Linked DNA regions of Xenopus tropicalis. The protein of the gene in region 4 interacts with the protein of the main gene of each other region in a pairwise test. Links are inferred from orthologs where the notes say so. Each region holds a gene or a part of one and is shown on either strand. Other genes may lie near its edges.

Region 1 (5,439 bases), on a different chromosome or scaffold from region 4:
CATGCCACATAGGGAGCCCGTGCACCCCTTCCAGGACAGCACCACACCCACAGCCAGATATAGTCCAGACAGGATTTTCTAGCCCTCCAATTGATATCTGTCTAATCAAACAAACTTGGCCAAGAACAGACGGCTGATACTGGCCCAAGAAAAACCATCTTGCTGCTCAGATGCAGTTCATTAATCATATACAGCATGCTGTGATGAGAAACACTCTAATGCCTAGTGACATTAGGCTGATGTCCCATGAAATGTGTTAGCAGACAGTTAGAAATCCCTGCTACCGGGGACAACTAATGGCTCCGAAATACCATTCCACTGGCACAAACAGGAATCGCTGGTGGAAAGGCCTTCACATTGCTTTGGTTTTCTGAAGTTGTGCAGAGTTTCCTCCTGCAGGCAAGCTCAGAAAACCAAAGCGACGCAAAGGCCTTTCCACCGGAAACTCCTATTGTTGCCAGTGGAAAGGCATTTTCAGAGTGGTTAGATGCCCTCGATAACAGAGATCTATCACGGGCGAGTAAAAGGCAGCTCTGGGAATGTGCTTCCAGGTGATACGCTAGGATGGTAGGGCTAAAGAACTGGTGGGGTGCATGGGATTAAAGGAGAAGGAAATGTATAATCACTGGGGGGTGCCAAATGTTAGGTGCACTCCAGTAATTGCCAACGCTTTGCTAATACCCCAGGCGAGTGCTCCTGTTTGCTGAAAAACGCACTGGCCCAGGGTACATCTGTAAGAGTGCCACACTGCAATCTTTTCTTAAGCCCCAGGCTGGTGCACTCTTCAGCACACAGATGTCTGGCCCAGAGTATCAGGTAAGTGATTATATTCACTGGAGTGGGGGTACCATATATCCTGGAGATGGCACTTTCAAGGCAACTAATAATAACTATATTATCCAACCTAGAGCAGCCTGAAGCACAAGAAACCCGATTCCTCCCATGAAAAATAATGCCTTCCAGTGCTTAGTGGAGTGTCAGTGCTGTATTATGTGGCTGCTTCTGGGAACCAAAGTGCCTTCTTATAGGGGTTTGTGCCTTAAGAGCCAGTACCCAGCCAGCAGTGCTGCACTCCTGATGAAAATCTCTCCTTTGCTGATCTCCAAACCTTCTACAGCATTGGTGCAACTGGGTATTGGGGGTTCTTGGGCACTGAGTACCCTGCTTGCCAATGCAGTGCACACTTGCCTACTGAATTATGAGCAGGACGGCCATTCTGGAGAATCACTTAAGGGCGTACTTATTACCCCTGGAGACAAACTTCAGTGGTGATGTTACCCATAGCAACCAATCAGACCTTTACAATAAAACGCTGACTTCCGCTTTAAGCCGCGTACAGCTGAGCACTTCATCTGGTGCGCAACTGCTTTTTTTTTTTTAGAATGTTCCTGTAAGGGTGATACAGGGTCAAACAGCTGAAAAATGCAAGTGGGAGTAACATGTACCGGTTATTACAGCGATTAAAAGTTAAATTATGTTGGTCTGTGTAAACGCAGATGGAGGCTTTATTATGGGTACTGGAAACACGCAGGTCAGTGTGGTTCAGACTCTCCCCAACCTCAAAGCATATATGTACAACATAGCTATGGCCACCACCTTGTATTGTATCTCTCCTTAAGGGCTCTGGTACACGGGGAGATTAGTCGCCCGCGGCAAAACTCCCTGCTCGCGGGCGACTAATCTCCCCGAGTTGCCTTCCCTCTGCCATCCCACCGGCGACTTACACCGGCGAGGCGATTTCGGGAAATCGCCGAAAAAGCCTCGCGAGTCTTTTTCGGCGATTTGCGCGAAATCGCGCCGCCGCGTCTGCCATCCCGCCGGCGACTTACATGTTCGCCGGTGGGATGGCAGAGGGAAGGCAACTCGGGGAGATTAGTCGCCCGCGAGCAGGGAGTTTTGCCGCGGGCGACTAATCTCCCCGTGTACCAGAGCCCTTAATCCCTCCTCATTAATTTGCAGGCAACACTTGAAACCTTTATCCTGATAAGTTGAACAATTAGAAAACAAGGAAGGGGGGATTTAAAATGCCATGGTGGCCCTATAACACCTATATCCATGCAACTGTGGCACTTAAAGGAACAGTAACACCAAAAAATGAAAATGTATAAAAATAATAATAAAATATACTGCTGCCCTGCACTGGTACAACTGGTGTGTTTGCCTCAGAAATTTATATAAACAAAGCTGCTGTTTAGCCACGGGGGCAGCCATTCAAAGGAGAAAAGGCACAGGCACATAGGAGATAACAGATAAACTATTGTATTCTACAGAACTTATCTGTTATCTGCTATGTAACCTGTGCCTTTTCTCCTTTTTTCCAACTTTAATGGCTGCCCCCATGGCTACACAGCAGCTTATTTATATAAACTATAGTAGTGTTACTGTAGCAAACACAATTTTTACCAGTGCAGGGCAACAATACATTATATTATAATTACTTTAAAAAAAAACTTTAATTTTTTTGGTGTTACTGTTCCTTTAATAACAATGGGGTAGAGCATAGTACGTTTGGGCAGCGCTGGGGTCCTAATGTTCAATTCCAGCTGGGGGTCACTATCTACAAGGAGTTTATATGTAACCCTTAGACTGGGGCAGGTTCTGATGTAAATGGAGTATAATGTTGCTGTTATATAAATACAGAATTACTGGAGATCCAAGAACCCCAAGGTTTTTCCAGACATTTAATACATATATTAAAGCACTAAAACTAATGGTGCCCCAATACAAAACGTAAGCAAACCCACAGGGCAGCAGCACATATCAATGAATGAAAAAATCCAGTGCAAAGCATATACACATTGAGGGAATATACCCAGAGAGAAATACAAGGCAGCCTTCCCTAGACGGGGGCAGTCAAGCAGTGGCAGCCATTTTTGTTGTCCCCTTACATAAACACAACAATTTAACCAGTGCAAGCTCAGAAAGAATTCATTTTACATAAAGAAGAAATCGCCCAAACCCATATACAAAGGGAATAGTGTGCAGAAGAAACAACTCCCCAGGAAGGTATAGACGCAGCGATATGTGTATCCAATCAGCTGCGGCCTATACCCCCATAAATCCTCGGTACTGCGTTCGGGGCCAATCCCAAACACCACCCTGCTCTCTCTTAATCAATACATCGGTGAATAGAACCCGCCATGCTTCCCCTGCACCGTCCCACCAATATCCAACTCGTACGGAAAGCAGCGCTGCAGGATGGAAAAAGATTATGGAGCTCCGCTTACATTTTGCCGCTCTTTCGTTGCCTGTCCCTTCTAAGATCAGATAAACCGTCGCGTTCGTTGTGACGTGTCGCCGCCATCTTGAAACAAAAGATAAGCGACTCTGGTCGCCTTGGCGCTGACGTCACACATTGCTGGACGTGGGCGTGGCACAACAGCGGACGCAAATGCGATTCAGCCTTTTAAAGAAGTAGGATAGTCCCGAGTTGCAGCAGGAACATTACTAGTAATTGTCATTTCTAGGAGTGACGGGGTTAATATGTGTGCGTGTATGTCTATTGCACGGAGCGGAAACCTATGCTGCTTCCTGTTTTGCTCCGTAAACAAACACTAAGTGCGATATGGTTATAAAGAAACTGTGCCAGAAGTACAACTACGCGTCGGTATATAGATAGGTGCGAGGGACAGCCGCTATAAAGGCAAGTGTGGCCTGTGTTAGGAGAGGTGCAGGGATGTTAGTTCTTCCGGATGGGAGGATTGCTTTACGTGTCTCGTCGCACTTTTGGGGCCCATAAGGTGGTGAGTGTGACAAAAAGCAAGGGTGACCCTTTACCTTTGGGAAAAAAGAGTGCAACTAGTCTAGCTCCCCATAAGGTTTGCTTGAGTTGTTGGGAACCCCCATAAACCCGGCTGTCTAGGGGGTTTGCATGAGTTGTCAAGGCCACCATAAGTCCCGCTAGAGTTGCCCAGGGCAACCCTTAGGTTTGCCTGAGTTATAAAGGGCATCCATAAACCTTACTTAGGTCGCCTAGGGCAAGCATAAGGTTTGTATACATTGTACAGGATTCAGTAAGGTTTCATTGAACCTTCCAGAAGGTCCCTAAGGTTTGGAGGGAAGCTGTTCTGATCTGTCCTCTCATAAAGGGAATATTTCCCCTCTTATAAATAAGGTGCATATTCCTTTTAATGCTACACTCAAATCCACAGAGAACTTAAAGGGTCAGTTACTGTACTCACAACACAGAATTGCCTGCCTGAAGGGTTTGATTGGTATCAGCATCACCTTTAATGAGCCCCCTGACCTATTTTTATTAGGTGGGGAGAGAAGCAGGTTCTGTGGATGTATTAGGAGGAGGTGAGAGGTAGGTGCCCTGATGTCTGTTAGTTGGAAGTGAAAGGTATGTTCCCATATGAGGAGTGGGTGTCTGTATCTCTGATGACTGCGTATAAAGAAGGACTGGGCAGTTTTATCATGGGTAGGGGTCAGAATTACTTGTGTCCTAATGTATGTAGTGAGAAATGATATTGGTTTTATTCATGACTCTAACACCAACCTCCTGTTTTCTTCAGATCATTAGTTGCAAGCAATGAAATAAAAGTACCTGTTTAGCAGGTGGAATATCTTGGGGCCAGAACTTCTGAAACCGAATACAACAAGGATCCAATTTAAGGTCATGGTGGAATATAACTGCATCACCTTCCACCAATCAGAATCCAGCGACTGGTTTATTAAAGGGAATCAGCTTGGCCGAGTGGTTCTGCTGCCCAAAGATTTAGCACCACCACTGGCTTTAGAACCCAGATTGAGCACCACTGGTTATTAATGCAATATTTTTCATCCACATTTGATTGGATTGTGGGTGGATCTTAATTGAGATCAGTGCACTGAGACTTTTGATTAATCGCAAAACTTTGTGACGGATGTGGTTTCAATCTATTTCAGCCCCGTAAAGTTTGCTGAATGCTAGAAATATGGGGCGATTGGATGAGAATGCGAAGCACAGGATTGTGATCTTGAGGAAAGCCGGGTTAAGCTTTCGTAAAATAAAGAAAGTTCTGGAGTTGGATAATATTAAGGTGACACCACAAGCCATCTATCTCTTCCTTAAAAGAAAGAACATTGAACCTGAAAAGTCATCCTCTGCCAACCAGACCCAAAGCATTCCCCCAAGAGCACAGCCATGGGCAGACCGCCAGCCTTGGACTCCCTATCAGGAGACTGGGCAGAAGCCAGCCAGTACAGAGACTAAACTTGATGCTGGACACAGGGTACCGCAAGTGGTCAGCCAGGAAGAAGGTATCAAGATAGTGAGTGTGACCTCTCTATCCAAAGGTAACCATGCCTTTCAGGCATCTTCCAGCAACCAGAGACTGATATCCCAAGGACAGGCTCCAGCAGAAACGTGTGAGTGCAATATCTCTGTAGTACCCATTGATGCCATTTTGCATTTTGGCTTGCAGTGGTTCATCATGAGTTCCTAAAAGTTAATCTTTC
Region 2 (4,893 bases), on a different chromosome or scaffold from region 4:
TACCCAAAATGTCAGAGAGTTGCACATAGCTCCCTTTGCTACGTGGATATTATTCTATTTATGACCTAGGCACTGACTCCTCACTCGCCAGCGACTTATTAAGATTTTCACAAACACTGTTCTTGCCAGGAGAGTCCGCCAAATCCAGTCATGTTTATATCTGGGGATTTAGTTAAAGCCAGGCGTGAAATATTTATTCACAATGAAGTATTAAGTTGATTTAATGGTTCTCAGTCTCAGGGAACTGCACATGGCTCATTTACAAGTGAAAGAACATGATATTGCATGATATTGTGTTCATGACATAACAGTGTTGCATTGCACTCAAGGATTAATAGGATAGCTGAATTCAAACACCTGACTAACCCCATATCCAGAGAAATGATGCCCCTAATTCTTTAGAATTTGGCCACTTCACTGTTTGAGGAAGTATGGGAGGCTTAGCAATCGTGTGATGGATCCCAGTATCCACCATAAAACTTATAACATATAACAGTATAACATCTGAACACTTTTAGGTTGCCCATCTCATTTATGCATATATAAATATCTATATAAAAGCGATATATATACCTGTACAACTATATACAAACCAAAGTTTTTAGTGAACTTGTTCACCCAAACAAGATGGATCCCATCATATGGAACAGGATAAATAAAAGGAGTCCCCAACCCATGATCTCATTAAAACCCAGAGCTGTGTAACACTGACCTAGTTTCCCTGTATGTGTTGACATTTTACCTTTAATATCATGTCTCCTGGAAGAAGTCTCCCATCTCGACCAATTACACCATCCTGATAAATGTGCTGTATAATGATTTGAGTCAATGGTGTCTCATTGCCTCCAACAATCCTAATTCCAAGGATTTCATTGAGATCTGCCCTATTGATTTTAATACAGGTAATCTCTCCATCTGGAATCAGGTGATATTGTCTCGGAAGACCTGTGGTTAAACAAACAGGAAAATATTACTTCACTAGAAACTTTAAAGGGAACATTGTTGGACCTAGAATTTTTTTTTTAATATGAGAACATACAAACTTCTTTAATATAGGTAGAAATGCCCATACCTATTGCATTTTTAATTGACAATTATGCCCAACCACAAAGTCTAATAAATGAGACAGTTTGGTAATTAAGTTGCCATGTCAATAGATAAGAAAGCTTCAATACAAAGCAATACTTTGAATAAACCAGCTTTTTTTTACTGTCTAGTAAAATATACATTTGGAAACCCCTCATATATTGGGGTGGCCAAGTGGTTAGCATTGCGGTTTTTGAGTACTATGGTCTTGGTGTCTGATTGCCACTGGGGCACTATCTACATTTCTCACAAAGTCTCTATGGAATTATTTCAAGTGCTCCAGAGTCCTTGCTGAAAACATTTAGGCAGGTTAACTGGCTTCTAATATATATGACTCAATGCTGGGAGTGAATGGAAAGACACTACTGTGACTATATGAATGAATAAAGGCTGGAAGACACCACCAAGTAGGTTGCCCATTTTAGCCCGATGCTTTGTGTGACTGAGCAGCTAGCTACCGTCTTACAAACAAAGCACACTTGTGGGCAAGCTGGGGTCATGAACATGTATGTATGCATATCTTTATTTATAAAACATTACTTATGTACGCAGCGCTGCACAGTAGAATAGATTAATATAACAGGGGGTTATTAAAATAATAACAGATAACTACAAAGTATAACAATAAATACACAGCAAAGTTGCAACAAGTTAAGAATCAAAGAGACAAGAGAATAGAGGTCCCTAGGCATGTGACCATGATGCCACCACCAAAAATTTGGCATGGCTTACTGTATGTTTTTGCTCATGGTGCCTCAAATGCATTTATTATATTCATATGGAGTTTTTTTCGCTGTAAAAAGTATTAAAATGCTATCACTATAATAACCACTAGCGCTTTGATTTGGCCCTAATTAACAATAAGTAAATGCAAAGTAAATGAGTCCCCTTGTGTGATTCTTTGTAGAAAGTGAATAGTAAAGATTCTACTAGAAGGTCATTTTTACCACATAATGTTTTTTAGGGTAGGCATAACTACAGAGGAAGCAGACCCTGCAGTTGCAGGGGGGCCCATGAGTGTAGAGGGCACTAATTAATAAATAAATATGAACATCAAACAATGTAGAGTAAGACAAAAAAAAATCTGTGTGACGAGAAATGTAGAGTAAAACAAACCCATAGGGTCTTCTACGATGTTGGCATTTTGCAGGTTTGCTCTCTCTCTGTCAGATGCATGTACCACAGAGCTCCCACTCTTTGTTCTCCGAAGGACACTAAATGCTCGATTTAGTTTCTTGAAAGACAGACTCCTGACAGTGGAACGCTCAAAGTTTCGATCTGAAAACAGAAAACAGTTCTGTTACAACAGCCCAGTGGTTCTCTAGTGTTTGGCTATAATGAACCAAACCGAATCAAAACCAAATAAATAAGAAAAGCACTCTTAGACTGTTCAAAACATAACAATTGTTTCAAGCACATAAATTATAACTTGTAATGACTTGAGATGCTGGTGCTTATTCAACATAAACCAAATGTTAAATAAATATAAATAATCAGGTCATAACCACGATTAAGTGCGCATGAAATGCGCCAGGCTTTTTGTTTTTAGATGAATGAATGAATAAAATCAAGTTTTTACTGACATCTGATGGCGACTTCAATGTGTGATTGAAGCTGTATCTCTACTTTTGTATGAACTTCCGCAGTCACACAGAAAATCTAATATACGTTATTTTATCAAAGCTAAAGTCTGAATAGGGGCTTATATTATCCTTTTGAAACCCCAATGAATCAATTAATTTGTGTGCACCACTTATGTTTGCAGTTCACTAGGCTGGCACAGGAAGACTCCCTAGTGAAGAAAATCAGGGGCCCTAAACTGCAGTGCAGTACATTTTTCTAATCCATAATAATGGGACATAGCCATACTTGGGACAAGCTTTATGTTATGACTGGTGGTTTTCTCACTTCCAGTGGTTACTTCTGGGTTACTACCTATGCCTTTAAACATATGCCAGTGGAGAAATCTGGAAACATGCACAGGTGCAGTATTTCATTATTTTTTTTCCAGTTATTTATATAGCGCCAGCACATTCCCACAGCACTTTACAGAGTTTATTTATCATACACATCACTCGCTGCGCCAGAGACGCTTACAATCTAAGGTGCCTATCACATTCACACACACAGTGTGGTTAATTTAGTCAGAGGCCAAATAACCTGCCTATATGTTTTTAGGAGGTAACTTGGAATACCCATAGGAAACCCACACAGACATGAGGAGAACATACAAAAACACCCTTGCAGATAGTACCCTTGAGCTCTGGGCAGAAATGCTACTGCACTGCTTACAGTAACACCAGTTATCAGTATAATACAAAATCTGATTGGTTGTACGTATTTGTACCTATGAGTTACTCTTACCAGGATAGATACAAATAGGGATTTATTAGATGGGACTGAGGTGTGGCCATCTCAAAGGTACAACTCACCATTGCCAATGCCAGTGATAGGATTTCTCACTTTGTGAACTATTCTAGGAGTCACTAACTAGTAAAGGCACTGCCCTTCCAATAATGGTAGCAGGTTGTACAATAGGAAAAACTTGTGGGACATTACAGAGCAAGTTGCCCCCTATTGAGTGTGAAATATAATGCTTGGTTTTGTCAGTACTATTCAATAACTCAGTTGTGTAATAATCAGTTATAAGAAGCTTTTGTATTACTGAACAGCAATCTCAAAAAGCATCCATGTTTATTATTAAAAAAAGAGGGTTTTTTTCCCAGTGTACATTGCCTTACTTCTGTTCCGGTTAAGCCTGCAGTTTTCTTCAGCTTCACAGGCAGTGTGGCTTTCTCCTTTGGCAGGACTAAATGCTGGATTGTCTTGGCCAGTTTCTTCAGTTGCTAAGGCTATGGCTGCTGAAGCTGAAAGCTCAGGGGAGACGGCTGCAACAGTGAGATCCAAAGAGGAGCTGCAGTCTGCGGAACTGTCTTGTGATCGTCTTTTACGCTCTTTGGTAAGGCCATAATGTGATGCTCCTTTACACCTAGAAGACAAAAACATTATATTACAGTACAAACTTTAGCATGACATATCATATTGTCATAAAGTACAAAACTTCAAATGTGCCATGGCATTTCTGCTGTTTTCTAGACAGCAATATACATATATATTTTTGTATTTGGCTTAGACTCTTTGGTATTGTGAGTTTAACCCATGTAAATATTGTTAGAGGTATAGTGTGTAGAGATCTGTAGGGTGGTAAGAGGTGATAGATGCTTCCCACTTTAAATCTGCTTACCTGAGTTGCTTTTTGTTGCTTATCAAGCACATGAAACATGGAACATGTGATCAGCCACAGGGCAGTATAAAGACTGGGCACAAGGGAACATGGCTGTCTTTAGAAGGTACAAATTTGATGGCGCTGTAGAGCAGCAAGTGTAATTTTATATATAAGAAGAGTGAGGGGCAGTAGTGCAAGATGGTTATAGTAGGATAAGATGGCAACAGAAGGACAAGATGATTAGTGCAAAAATGTAGCCCCCTACAACCCTTCAGTAAGGTATGGGATCCATTATTCTGAAACCATAAAGCTTCAAATTACGGGAAGGCCATCTCCCATAGACTCCATTTTAATTATATAATTACATTTTTTAGAACTGATTTATTTTTTTCTGTAATAAAAAACAGAACCTTGTACTTAAACCCATCTAAGATATAATTAATCCTTATTGGGGGAAACCCCATTCTGTTGACTTTTTGTGATGTTTAAACAAATTTTTAGCAGACTTAAAGTATGGAGATCCAAATTAAGGTAAGATTCCTTATCTGGAAAACCCCAGAGCATTTTGGATAACAGGTCCC
Region 3 (4,893 bases), on a different chromosome or scaffold from region 4:
TAGCGCTGGCTCCTTCTGAAAGCTCAGACTCAGACCTGCTATGTAAACATGTGCCTTTTCTTTCTTTTTCTCCAACTTGATTTGCTGTCCCCATGGCTACAAAGCAGCTTATTAATATAAAAAACAGCAGTTGCATTTTCTCACATTTCTACCAATTGCTTGTTTGTGCACATCAAGACAAGTTAGAACTGGGATTCTGCCCAACAATCCTGCTGAAAATTGTTTTTATTGCTTTGACGGATTTCACAGTTTTTACTGATTTTATTGCATTCTGCATTATTCTTGATTTTTCTTCTTATTTTTGCTCCTAAAATTGTGTGCGCAATGTTTTAGTTGTCTATGCATTCCACATAGTTTGCCAATTCTCTGGCTACTAGGTTTCAAACATTTCAGAAAATGCTTAGCAATTTTTATTATTATTAAATCTTTGCACATAAGAACATTTTGGAGACAATGCCCTTTGCTGTAATTTTTCAGAAATTTGAACAAGAATGTTATATGCCAGTGGTTTAAGAGAGTAAAACAGGGTTTCCTATACTTTCTGATATAAAAAAGAAATATGGTGGATATCTTCCAATGAGAAATTGTCTGGACCAATACCATAAACTGAGCAAATATGAAATGATTAAGCTGCACTCCACAACTTTTTGTGGGCATGATTCTAGTCCTATGAAAAAGTAATAAATATCAGCATTTCATCTAATATGTGGCAGTTATTAGAATTGATTATTCTTAGTGTGTAAAATCCTTATATTTAAAAAATTCTCAAAGTATCTGACAAGTGTTGTTCTTGCAGTAGCTGATGGGTAATGAAATCTGTATGCAACCAGTACATTTTAGGATCTCTACATTTTAGTACATTAATATTTATTATGCTTTTTGTATCTAAGAATCTGTAGAAGAGAAGATACTTTAAAGAATGTCTTGATGTGTTGTTACAAAAACAGCTACTTAGGAAAGGTTTGGCAAGGCAAGACATTTTTACCCATATTTAAAAATCTACATAAGAAAAGAAGTTAGAAATCTTCCTAAAACTATATATAATTGGCATAAGCACTCAAGATACAGAGTGTTCTGTTTAAATTGTATTTTTGTTGATAATAAAAGGTTCATATAACTTATATAAAACTTTTAATGTAGCTAGAATACAACATACAGTGGTGCATGAAAGTTTGTGAACCCTTTAACATTTTCTATATATGTATAAGAATGTGACCTAAAACAACATCACAGTTTCAAACAAGTTCTAAAAGTAGATGAAGAAAACCTAATGAAACAAATTGAAAAAATTATTCCGGATAAGGGGTCTTTCCGTAATTTGGATCTCTATACCATAAGTCTACTAAACAATCAATAAAACATTAAACCAAATAGGATTGTTTTTCATCCAATAAGGATTATATATATATATCTTAATTGGAATCAATTACAATGTAAAGTTTTATTACTACAGAGAAAAAGGAAATCAGTTTTAAAATTCTGTATTTGATTACAATGGAGTCTATGAGAGACGGGCTTTCCGTAATTCGGAGCTTTCTGGATAACGGGTTTCCAGATAAGGGATTCCACACCTGTACTTGGTCACGTATTTTTCAGTTAACTTTTTGTTCAGCAACACTTTGGTCTGGAATTTCAGTAGCTATCTGGTTGCTAGGGTCTTAGCCACCAGGCACTGGCTTAAACTAAAGACCAGAATATGAATTTGAGAGGGGCTGAATAGTAAGACAAGTAATAAAAAGTAACAATTTTAATAAATTTTAGTTTTCAGCTGTCAGGGGTCAGTGACCCCAACTGAAAAATGTAGAAGTGGAAGGCAAATAGTTTGGAGAGACAAATAATGAAGACCAATTGCAAAGTTGCTTGGAATAGGAAATTCTATAACATACTAGAAGTTAATGTAAAGTTGAACCAGGACTTCAAGAAATTCACTTTATTCTTCTTTAACCATTCTTTGGTAGAACAATCTGTATGTTTAGGATCATTGTCTTGCTGCATGTCCCACTGTCTCTTGAGATTCAGTTCACTCATAGATGTCTTGGCATTTTCCTTTAGAATTCTCTGGTATAGTTCAGAACTTATTGTTCCATCAATGATAGAAAGCAGTACAGGCCCAGATGCGGCAAGACAGACCTAAACCACAACACTCCCACCACATTTCACAAATAAGATAAGGTTCTTATGCTGGAATGCAGTGTTTTTCCTTTCTCCAAATGAAACGCTCCTCATTTAAGCCAAAAACTTTTGGCTTCATCCATCCACAAAACATTTTTCCATTATCCTTCTGGTTTGTCCACATGATCTTAAGCAAACTGTAGACAGTCAGCAATATTTTGGGGAAAAAGCAGTAGCTTTCCCTTTGCTACCACACCATTGCTGTTCAGTGTTCTCCTGATGGCGAACTCATGAACATCCAACATTCAACAATGTGATACAGGCCTTCAGTTTCTTAGAAGTTACTCTGGTTTCTTTCTTGTAACCTCTGGCACATGGGGAGATTAGTTGCCTGCGACAAATCTCCTGTGTCTCGGGCGACTAATCTCCCCAGATTGCCATCCCACCGGCGAAAATGTAAATCGCCGGTGGGATGGCATACGCGGCGGCGCGATTTCAGTGAAATCGCGCAAGTTGCCTTGAGGGGAAAGTTGCACGATTTCAGTGAAATCGCGCAGCCGCGTATGCCATCCCACCGGCGACTAATCTCCCTGTGTGCCAGAGCCCTTAGACACCTTGCAGTTGGAGTTATCTTTGATGGTCGACCACGTCTGGGTAGGGTAACAACAGTCTTTTATAATTTGTACACAATCTGTCTGACTGTTGGTTATCAGAATCCAAACTCTTTAGAGATAACCTTTTACAGCTTTAGGGCTCTGGCACACGGGGAGATTAGTCGCCCGCGACAAATCTCCCTTGTCACGGGCGACTAATCTCCCCGAGTTGCCATGACCCGCCATCCCACCGGCGAACATGTAAGTCGCCGATGGGATGGCACACGCGGCAGCGCGATTTCCCGCCGGCGACTTACATGTTCGCCGGTGGGATGGCGGGTCATGGCAACTCGGGGAGATTAGTCACCCGCGAACATGGAGTTTTGTCGCGGGCGACTAATTTCCCCGTGTGCCAGAGCCCTTACAGGCATAAACTACTCTTTTTCTGGGGTCCTAAATCACCATCTTTTTTTCTGAGCCATGATACACATTCACAAATGTGTTGTATGTGGGATCTGGCTTTGCTGTGCACATGTGCAGCACTTGCAGAAATTTTTTATTAGGCATGCTGAAAATCTTAAGACTTCTAAAACATAATGATCATGCTTTAGTGTAGTAAGAGTAATGAACCTAAACATAAAGTGGTTGCTAGGGTTTAAATGACCAGAACAAAAGTCTTTTCCTCTGTAATTACAATACTTAACTTCTTTGGAGACATTAATTGTACAGTACTATAAACAAAACTGCCTACCTCTGGTACATTATCCTCAATTATCTGCAACATTGTCGTCATGTAGCATTTTCTGTTCAGGATTAAATCTACTTTATTGGCGACTAAATCTAGGGTAAAGAGATGAGTACATTAAGATGCTGCTTAAGGATAGGCAAAGTGGGTTAAAAAGACTGTTAGAGGGGCTTTACCAGGGTCACTTCGCACAGCCTTCATATCCAGGGCTTGATGTGCACCATCATATCTCTTCTGCATACAGTTCTAGGCAAGAAAACAAGAATTTATAATTTAGTAACAATTTATTTCTATTAATGCTGTCAATGCATTTATTGATGTGTACCTTAAAATGTTCTAACTCTTCATCTTTTATTTCCTTTGTAAAGTTCTGAGGAGGCGGGCATGGCCGTGTTAAAATAGTGATCTGTAGAGTGGGGAGTAACAAAAACTTAAAAACAAAAGTATTAGTAAAATGCTGTAAAAAAAAAAAAAAAAAAAATGGAACCTGCAACATTTCAATGATAACATTTTGTAACACAATGCTCTACTCTATGGGGCTGATTTACTAACCCACGAATCCGACCCGAATTGGAAAAGTTCCGACTTGAAAACGAACATTTTGCGACTTTTTCGTATGTTCTGCGATTTTTTCGGATTCTGTACGAATTTTTCGGATCCAATACGATTTTTGCGTAAAAACGCAAGTTTTTCGTATCCATTACGAAAGTTGCGTAAAAAGTTGCGCATTTTTCGTAGCGTTAAAACTTACGCGAAAAGTTGCGCATTTTTCGTAGCGTTAAAACTTAACGCTACGAAAAATGCGCAACTTTTCGCGTAAGTTTTAACGCTACGCAAAAAAAATCGCAAAAACATACGAAAAAATCGCAAAGTACCGATCATTACGAAAAAAACGCAATCGGACTCCATTCGACCCGTTCGTGGGTAAGTAAATCAGCCCCTATATGTTTGAATATACCACTACTTTATTAGCATTGTCTTTTAAATGCCTAAAAACAAAATCACTACTTACCTTGAAGTTTTCTCTGTCTGTGAATGTCCTAGATAGCTGCTTTAAGGCTTTTGCAGCAGCAGAGTCTTCAACAAAGAAGTGAGCCCGGTTATGGTCAGTGTGATACTATTTTGATGGAAAGAAAACATCCCAAAATTATTGTAACTTCTTCCCAAAAAATTTGTAAATTAATCTGGTAGCACAGGGATAAAATCTATTAAGCAGTAGCATTCTTAAAGAGATACTGACACCTGAAATTAAACTTATTTTTTTTATTTCTAACATAACATTGTCTTTGCATGATATTTATAATTTTTGCCTTAAAAGTATTTGCCCGATGCTTTTACATTACTTATGCAATCCCCAATGTTCCTTTATGAGGGGGCTGCCATATTTGTGCAGTAGGAGTCCATTAGCATTAGAAGCTATAACTGACAGGCTGAGAAGGGACA
Region 4 (5,595 bases):
ACAATCCTTTAATCCATCTCTTCAGATATGTCTACAGAAAGACACATGAAAAGGCAAGGTAAAACAAGAATTCCCCCAGGAAAAAAAAGTTAGAATGTATGGTAATCAACCACCAAAACCCACAGTGCCATAACCATAGTAAACACCAGCTGGTGCCTCTGAAGAGTGGCTAGCTAAACTGGAAGAATCTAGCAGTTAAAATACAGTTTTAGGCATGAGGGAAATGAGGGCATTAAGGAGCCAGTCTGATGGCAATACTACACAAAGGATTCAACACTTCGGCAAAATTGAATAAAACAGTGACTTAAAAAAATGAAAGTAAAGAAAACTGTATACAACATGAGGGTCTACAAAAAGCATCACGTGTTTTTCATTTATGTACGAGAGCGAGATCTGCTGTGGCGAGGAGAGTAGCGTGGAGAACCACGGCTTCTTCTTGGAGAGTAACTTCGGCTGCGACTGTTGCTTCTACTACGGCTCCTGCTACGACTGCGGCTGCGTGACCGCGATCTTCCATAGCTGGGACTTCTTGGACCATCTACCTTAACACGAATGTAGGCAGTCTCTCCCTATCAATGAGAGAAGCTGGATTTGAACAAGCCAATCTTCAATATCTTATGAACTTAGGCACATCAAAGAACGATAAAAGTCAAGCAACTATAGTACATTATACAGAAAATTTAAAATTCCCATATCTTTTGGCACCTTATGTATTTGGCCAACATCACTATTGGCTTCAGAGGTCATGTAAAACAGATACTGCTAGTCACAATAGGTAGAGAAAAACTTAACACAAACTACTAAACAATTTAGTATTTACCTCATGAGACCTAAATTTAGTGTTATCCAGCTTCCGTACTGCATATGTCATATCTTCTTTCCTCACAAACTCCACAACTCCAGTACCATCTCGGAACACATCGGCATAACATACATCACCTGCTTCACGCATGTGATCCTTTAAATCCTGCCAGCTGCCACTTGGAGGCAACCCTAGAAATATAAAGTTATCAGAGTGTCAAATTTGGTATCAAAAGCAGTTTTATACATAATTAAAAGCATGCAAATGGTGGAAATTTAAAATGGTTTATGAACTTCTAGTGCCAAAATTCCAAGAGTAGGTATCTATGCTGGTTATACAGCAATGCATGGAGCATTAAAACAGTCCAAAGACAGCTGTATTGCTTAAATGAACACAGCATCCTGGGGAAAACCCATTGTTTTAATCTGAACCATGCTTCCAGCGAGACTCACAACAGCCCAATTCTGCTAAAATAACTCAGGGGTTTACATTTAGTACGTTTTAAAGGTAAATTTGTTGCAGTGCTTCATGTTTGAACTGAAGGTAACATAGCAACATGTGCAAGTTTTCATAGTCCAGATAGCATCCTGAGCAACCAGACAGGGCCATTTAATATCTTGTTTGAAGACAATACCCTATCCTTCCCTTTTCTTGTGACTGCATGGTTTGAAGTCCATTATGCAGGAGAATTGTGTGTGAACTGTAATACAATTATCTACCTTGCAAGGACCAAGCAGAGAGTTGCTTAAGTTCTGTTAAGCTGATGCAAGCCGTTAACTGAACTAAAGTTAAAGGGAGATATACTAGTAGTTCTGTTTGTATACATTAATGGTCAGTCATATCCACTGGTATAGAATGCATAATACTTTAGAATGTATGCATAACTGTGTCCAACTCATTATTGTATACATGTGAAATAACGCTGCTTGTAAAAACCTGATGGGCATTATTCCTCTAAAACTTTGCAACTGATGTTTTTACTTTGGTTTTTAAACCTGCCACCTGATAGAACTCTTACCTGACACAACCACTCTGTATTCTGAACGTCTTGATGGAGGTCCATATCTCCCTCGGGGAGCTCCTCCTCCGCCGCCACCACCACCACCGCCGCCGCCGCCTCCACCACCTCCTCCTCCGCCGCCGCCACCACCACCACCACCTCTGCCTCCAGCTCCTCGCCCACTTCTTGGAAACTCAACACGCAAGCGATAGCCATCATAATCATAGCCATCTCTACCATAGACAGCATCTTCTGCATCCCTAAGAGAAACCAAGGTAAGAATTGCTTTAGTTAAAGAATGCCAGGTTAAGAAGAGAATATTCACCTACAATGGTAATTACATATCCTGGAAAACTTTCTTGGCTGTAAATGAGAAAACTTTATTACAGTCATGTATAGAGCTACAAACGACACATGACCCCAGATTAATTCTGTGTAAGCAAGCCATTGTATCTTAACAGTCTTTTAGACATGAATGGCTGCCCCCATGACTACACAAAAGCTTTTGTATTTACATTTAAACAGTACATTTTCACCAATACTTTACATATGTGCATATAGTGCAGATGCTTAAACACCCATTATTCATTTTGTAGTGTTGCTATTGAATATCAATACTGCACTTCTCCAAGCAGCCTACATAAAAGGTGTTAGGAGTTCTGGTTGAATAAGTGCAGTGAGCCTAATTGCATGCTTTATAGCAGAGACATGAGGCAGCGGCTTTAAAGCAAACAGGTCAATAAATAACCCAAAGCACATTTGCTTGTTAGAATGCCTTCCCTTAACACACTAGTAAGCATGGTGCAGGGCTGCAGAACAAAGAGCGGAAGCGCTATTCGGTCCCACACACAGGGGGCGCTGTTGCCTAAAGGCGGTAATAAATAGGGATTTACACGTGCTAATGGCGATACACAATGAGTGTATAATACCTCATTCTGGCGCCACTCTGTAGGGATTATAGGCTAAATATATTAACTTGAATAATGATACAACGCACCGATGTTGAAACATAACCTGCACCATAATCAGGCCTAATTCCCCCCCTCACTGGCCTCCTCGACTATATATAAACTCTAATACAACAGCGGACGACATTTTATCAACTACAGCAGAAATAAAGTCGCAGTACCACCACCCCGCCCCCGGATACACTCAAGGTATATTGTAGTTATTCACCAGTTAACACTAGGCGAGCCCATTAGCACGATAGGCCAAAGCAAAAACATTTACACAGGGATTACCTTGGATCTTCGAATTCCACAAAGGCGAATGGCGGGCCCCCTCTGCGGTTCTTTAGGTCTATGTCCCGAATGGCCCCATACTTGTAGAAAACGTCCTCAATGTCCTTGGTGCGGATGTCTGGCGGCAGATTGCCAACATAGATACGGCAATCGTTGTTACCCGCCGGCCCCCTAATCACGCCGCCCCCTGACATATCCAGCTTGATGGATTTAAAGGGAGACGGATTGAGAAGAAAAAGAAATGGAGTTGGAAGCCAAACAGACCTTCGATGCGCGCTTCAGAGCTTGGACAAGATGGCGGAGTTACTTCCTCCCTTGCTTTAGCCGCGCAAGGATACTAAGAACTCGCAGTGGTGCGTCCTCAACAAAGGTAATCTTACGCCGAGACAATATAGAGCCTCTCGTTTCCACGTCTTCACGATGCAATGTTCCTAAAGCTATGTGCCAATTACGGCCCTAAGAAAGAATCTATTCACTGAGGTAATATTTATACTAGAAACCTGAGCTCAAGCTGCTTCTCTGTATGTGATAGGGGGGCTTTCTATACCCTGTGCTTGACGTCACGTCCGTCCAGGAAATGCGCGCCCATAGTGGGGGAGGGCAGTGGGTGTTGTTTGAAAAATGTTTTGTTACTCGTCGTGCGCCATGGCTGTTGTTAGGTGGTTTTGTATTATAGAACCATGGTCGGAGGCTGTTAGCTCTTTATCTGCAGTGACATTCATTATGAGTATGAAAATCATTAACTACAGGTGTGCTCTCAATGGTTTCCGCAATAAAACTTTTAAAAGGGTTTTACCCTTGTTTGTAGTCCTGAGTGCCAATTGCTTTTTTTGTTGTTACAGTGTATTTGGAGGGTGCCGATCCCTCTAGCAGTGTGCACCGTACAAAATTTTTTTTGGAGTGTTAGGGTGTGCGGATAAGGTCTCTGTGGTCCACTCTCAATGGTTTCCCCATTAAAGTAGCACTGCAATTCAATACTTTGTAACTGCTGTCAGGGTAATATTGCAAACAAGGTTGGGAAGACTTTGTCCTATTTATTATTATTAACATTTATTTATAAAGCGCCAACATATTCTGCAGCGCTGTACAATAAAAGGGTTTTATACATTGGACATACAGAGTAGCATATAAAGCAATCAATAACCGATACAAGAGGTGAAGAGGGCCCTGCCCAAAAGAGCTTACACTCTACAAATATTTATGTGTTGATAATAAATACATGCCTTACATTACACTCCTGTTTGGGCCTTGTGCATATTTGTTTGTTTTATTTTAGTCGAGCTTAGATTGGGCAGTGAAATTGTAAGCTCTATGGGGCAGGGACCTCCTTCCTACTCTCTCACACCACATGGCGCTCAATCTGTGTATTTATACTTCTTGTATTTATTATAACAGTTGTCCTCCCTGTGTGTAATTGTGTATATTGTAAGATTGTATAGCGCTGTGTACCCTTCTAACGCTTTATAAATAAAGTTATACGTACATTTATATATTGCCCAGCGCTTTACAGAGTAGGGAGTGCAACCCTGGGCTGAAGTGGAAAAGCACTTCAAAAAGTGCAAAAGTATTTAAGAAACTGATGCTGGAATGTAAAAAAAATCCATAACAGAAAAATACTCGAAAATGTATGCCTTTTAGCAAACAAAAATTTCTTTGAACAAATTTAATATAGCTTTTGAGAGGTCACTTCCGACAGTGGAACAAAGGGGGCAAGGGGTACTGTCATGAATAGGTGTGCAAGTTGATGCTTCCCCCCACATCGGTATTGTAGAGAGAGAAATAGCGCTCAGAATTTCATCTCTTTAAAGAAAAACTATACCCCCAGAATGAATACTTAACCAACAGATAGTTTATATTATGCAGAGTGACCTATTAAAGAATCTCGCCAAACTGGAATATATATATATATATATATATATATATATATATCAGTAAATATTGCCCTTTTAAATCCTTTTCCTTGATCCACAATTTAGTGATGGGCTGTGTGCGCCCTCAGAGATCACATGACCAGAAATAATGCAGCTCTAACTGTAACAGGAAGAAGGCAGAACTTTGTTCATTAATTGGCTGATGGGGCCCAGCATGCATATTTTCCTTGACTTGTTTGTGTGCACTGTGAATCCTATGATCACAGGAGGCGGCCCTTAATTCTTAAAATGGCAACTTTCTATTTAGGAGTACCCAATAGCACATACTACTATAAAGTATATTTTTATAAAAATCGTTTATTTAGATGAAGCAGGGTTTTACACAAGGGTGTTTATGCAATACATTTTATAGAGACCTACAGTGATTGGGGATATAGTTTTCCTTTGTTACTTTTTATTTTTTAAGATCTTTTTTTGCCACCCCTGGTAACTTGCCGGGCGCTGCCACCAAAGGTGAGTTTCTTAACTATCCTCATGGCAGCAGCACGTTGAAAAGTTGAAAAAATTGCCTCTGATGGTAGTGCCGGGCAAGTTAACAGGAGTGTCGCTTCTGGCAACCTTAAGAACAAAAATTCTGATTAAAAAGAGCAATTGCGCTCTCATTTATGATCCCCGTATATA

The links.
Region 1: the proteins of srsf1 (region 4) and rnps1 interact in a two-hybrid assay, tested with the Homo sapiens proteins (2 studies listed by BioGRID and IntAct, with this or other methods). The link is inferred for Xenopus tropicalis from reciprocal best matches to the Homo sapiens genes SRSF1 and RNPS1.
Region 2: the proteins of srsf1 (region 4) and lnx1 interact in a two-hybrid assay, tested with the Homo sapiens proteins (3 studies listed by BioGRID and IntAct). The link is inferred for Xenopus tropicalis from reciprocal best matches to the Homo sapiens genes SRSF1 and LNX1.
Region 3: the proteins of srsf1 (region 4) and nxf1 interact in binary tests that used the Homo sapiens proteins (3 or more experiments, as listed by UniProt). The link is inferred for Xenopus tropicalis from reciprocal best matches to the Homo sapiens genes SRSF1 and NXF1.

Annotation. Positions count from the first base shown.
Region 1 is NC_030685.2:21,738,622-21,744,060, reverse strand, and holds the start of rnps1 (RNA-binding protein with serine-rich domain 1), read right to left. Parts: upstream 3,348-5,439; 5' UTR 3,230-3,347; coding exon 3,228-3,229; intron 1-3,227. Other genes in the region: uncharacterized protein LOC100490582, read left to right, coding at 4,917-5,349. UniProt on the Homo sapiens protein: Part of pre- and post-splicing multiprotein mRNP complexes. Auxiliary component of the splicing-dependent multiprotein exon junction complex (EJC) deposited at splice junction on mRNAs.
Region 2 is NC_030677.2:39,761,360-39,766,252, forward strand, and holds part of lnx1 (E3 ubiquitin-protein ligase LNX), read right to left. Parts: intron 4,076-4,893; coding exon 3,828-4,075; intron 2,365-3,827; coding exon 2,203-2,364; intron 946-2,202; coding exon 743-945; intron 1-742.
Region 3 is NC_030680.2:36,514,994-36,519,886, forward strand, and holds part of nxf1 (nuclear RNA export factor 1), read right to left. Parts: intron 4,568-4,893; coding exon 4,463-4,567; intron 3,857-4,462; coding exon 3,776-3,856; intron 3,697-3,775; coding exon 3,627-3,696; intron 3,546-3,626; coding exon 3,457-3,545; intron 1-3,456.
Region 4 is NC_030678.2:76,102,979-76,108,573, reverse strand, and holds the start of srsf1 (serine/arginine-rich splicing factor 1), read right to left. Parts: upstream 3,492-5,595; 5' UTR 3,238-3,491; coding exon 3,044-3,237; intron 2,063-3,043; coding exon 1,821-2,062; intron 994-1,820; coding exon 821-993; intron 570-820; coding exon 375-569; 3' UTR 1-374. UniProt on the Homo sapiens protein: Plays a role in preventing exon skipping, ensuring the accuracy of splicing and regulating alternative splicing.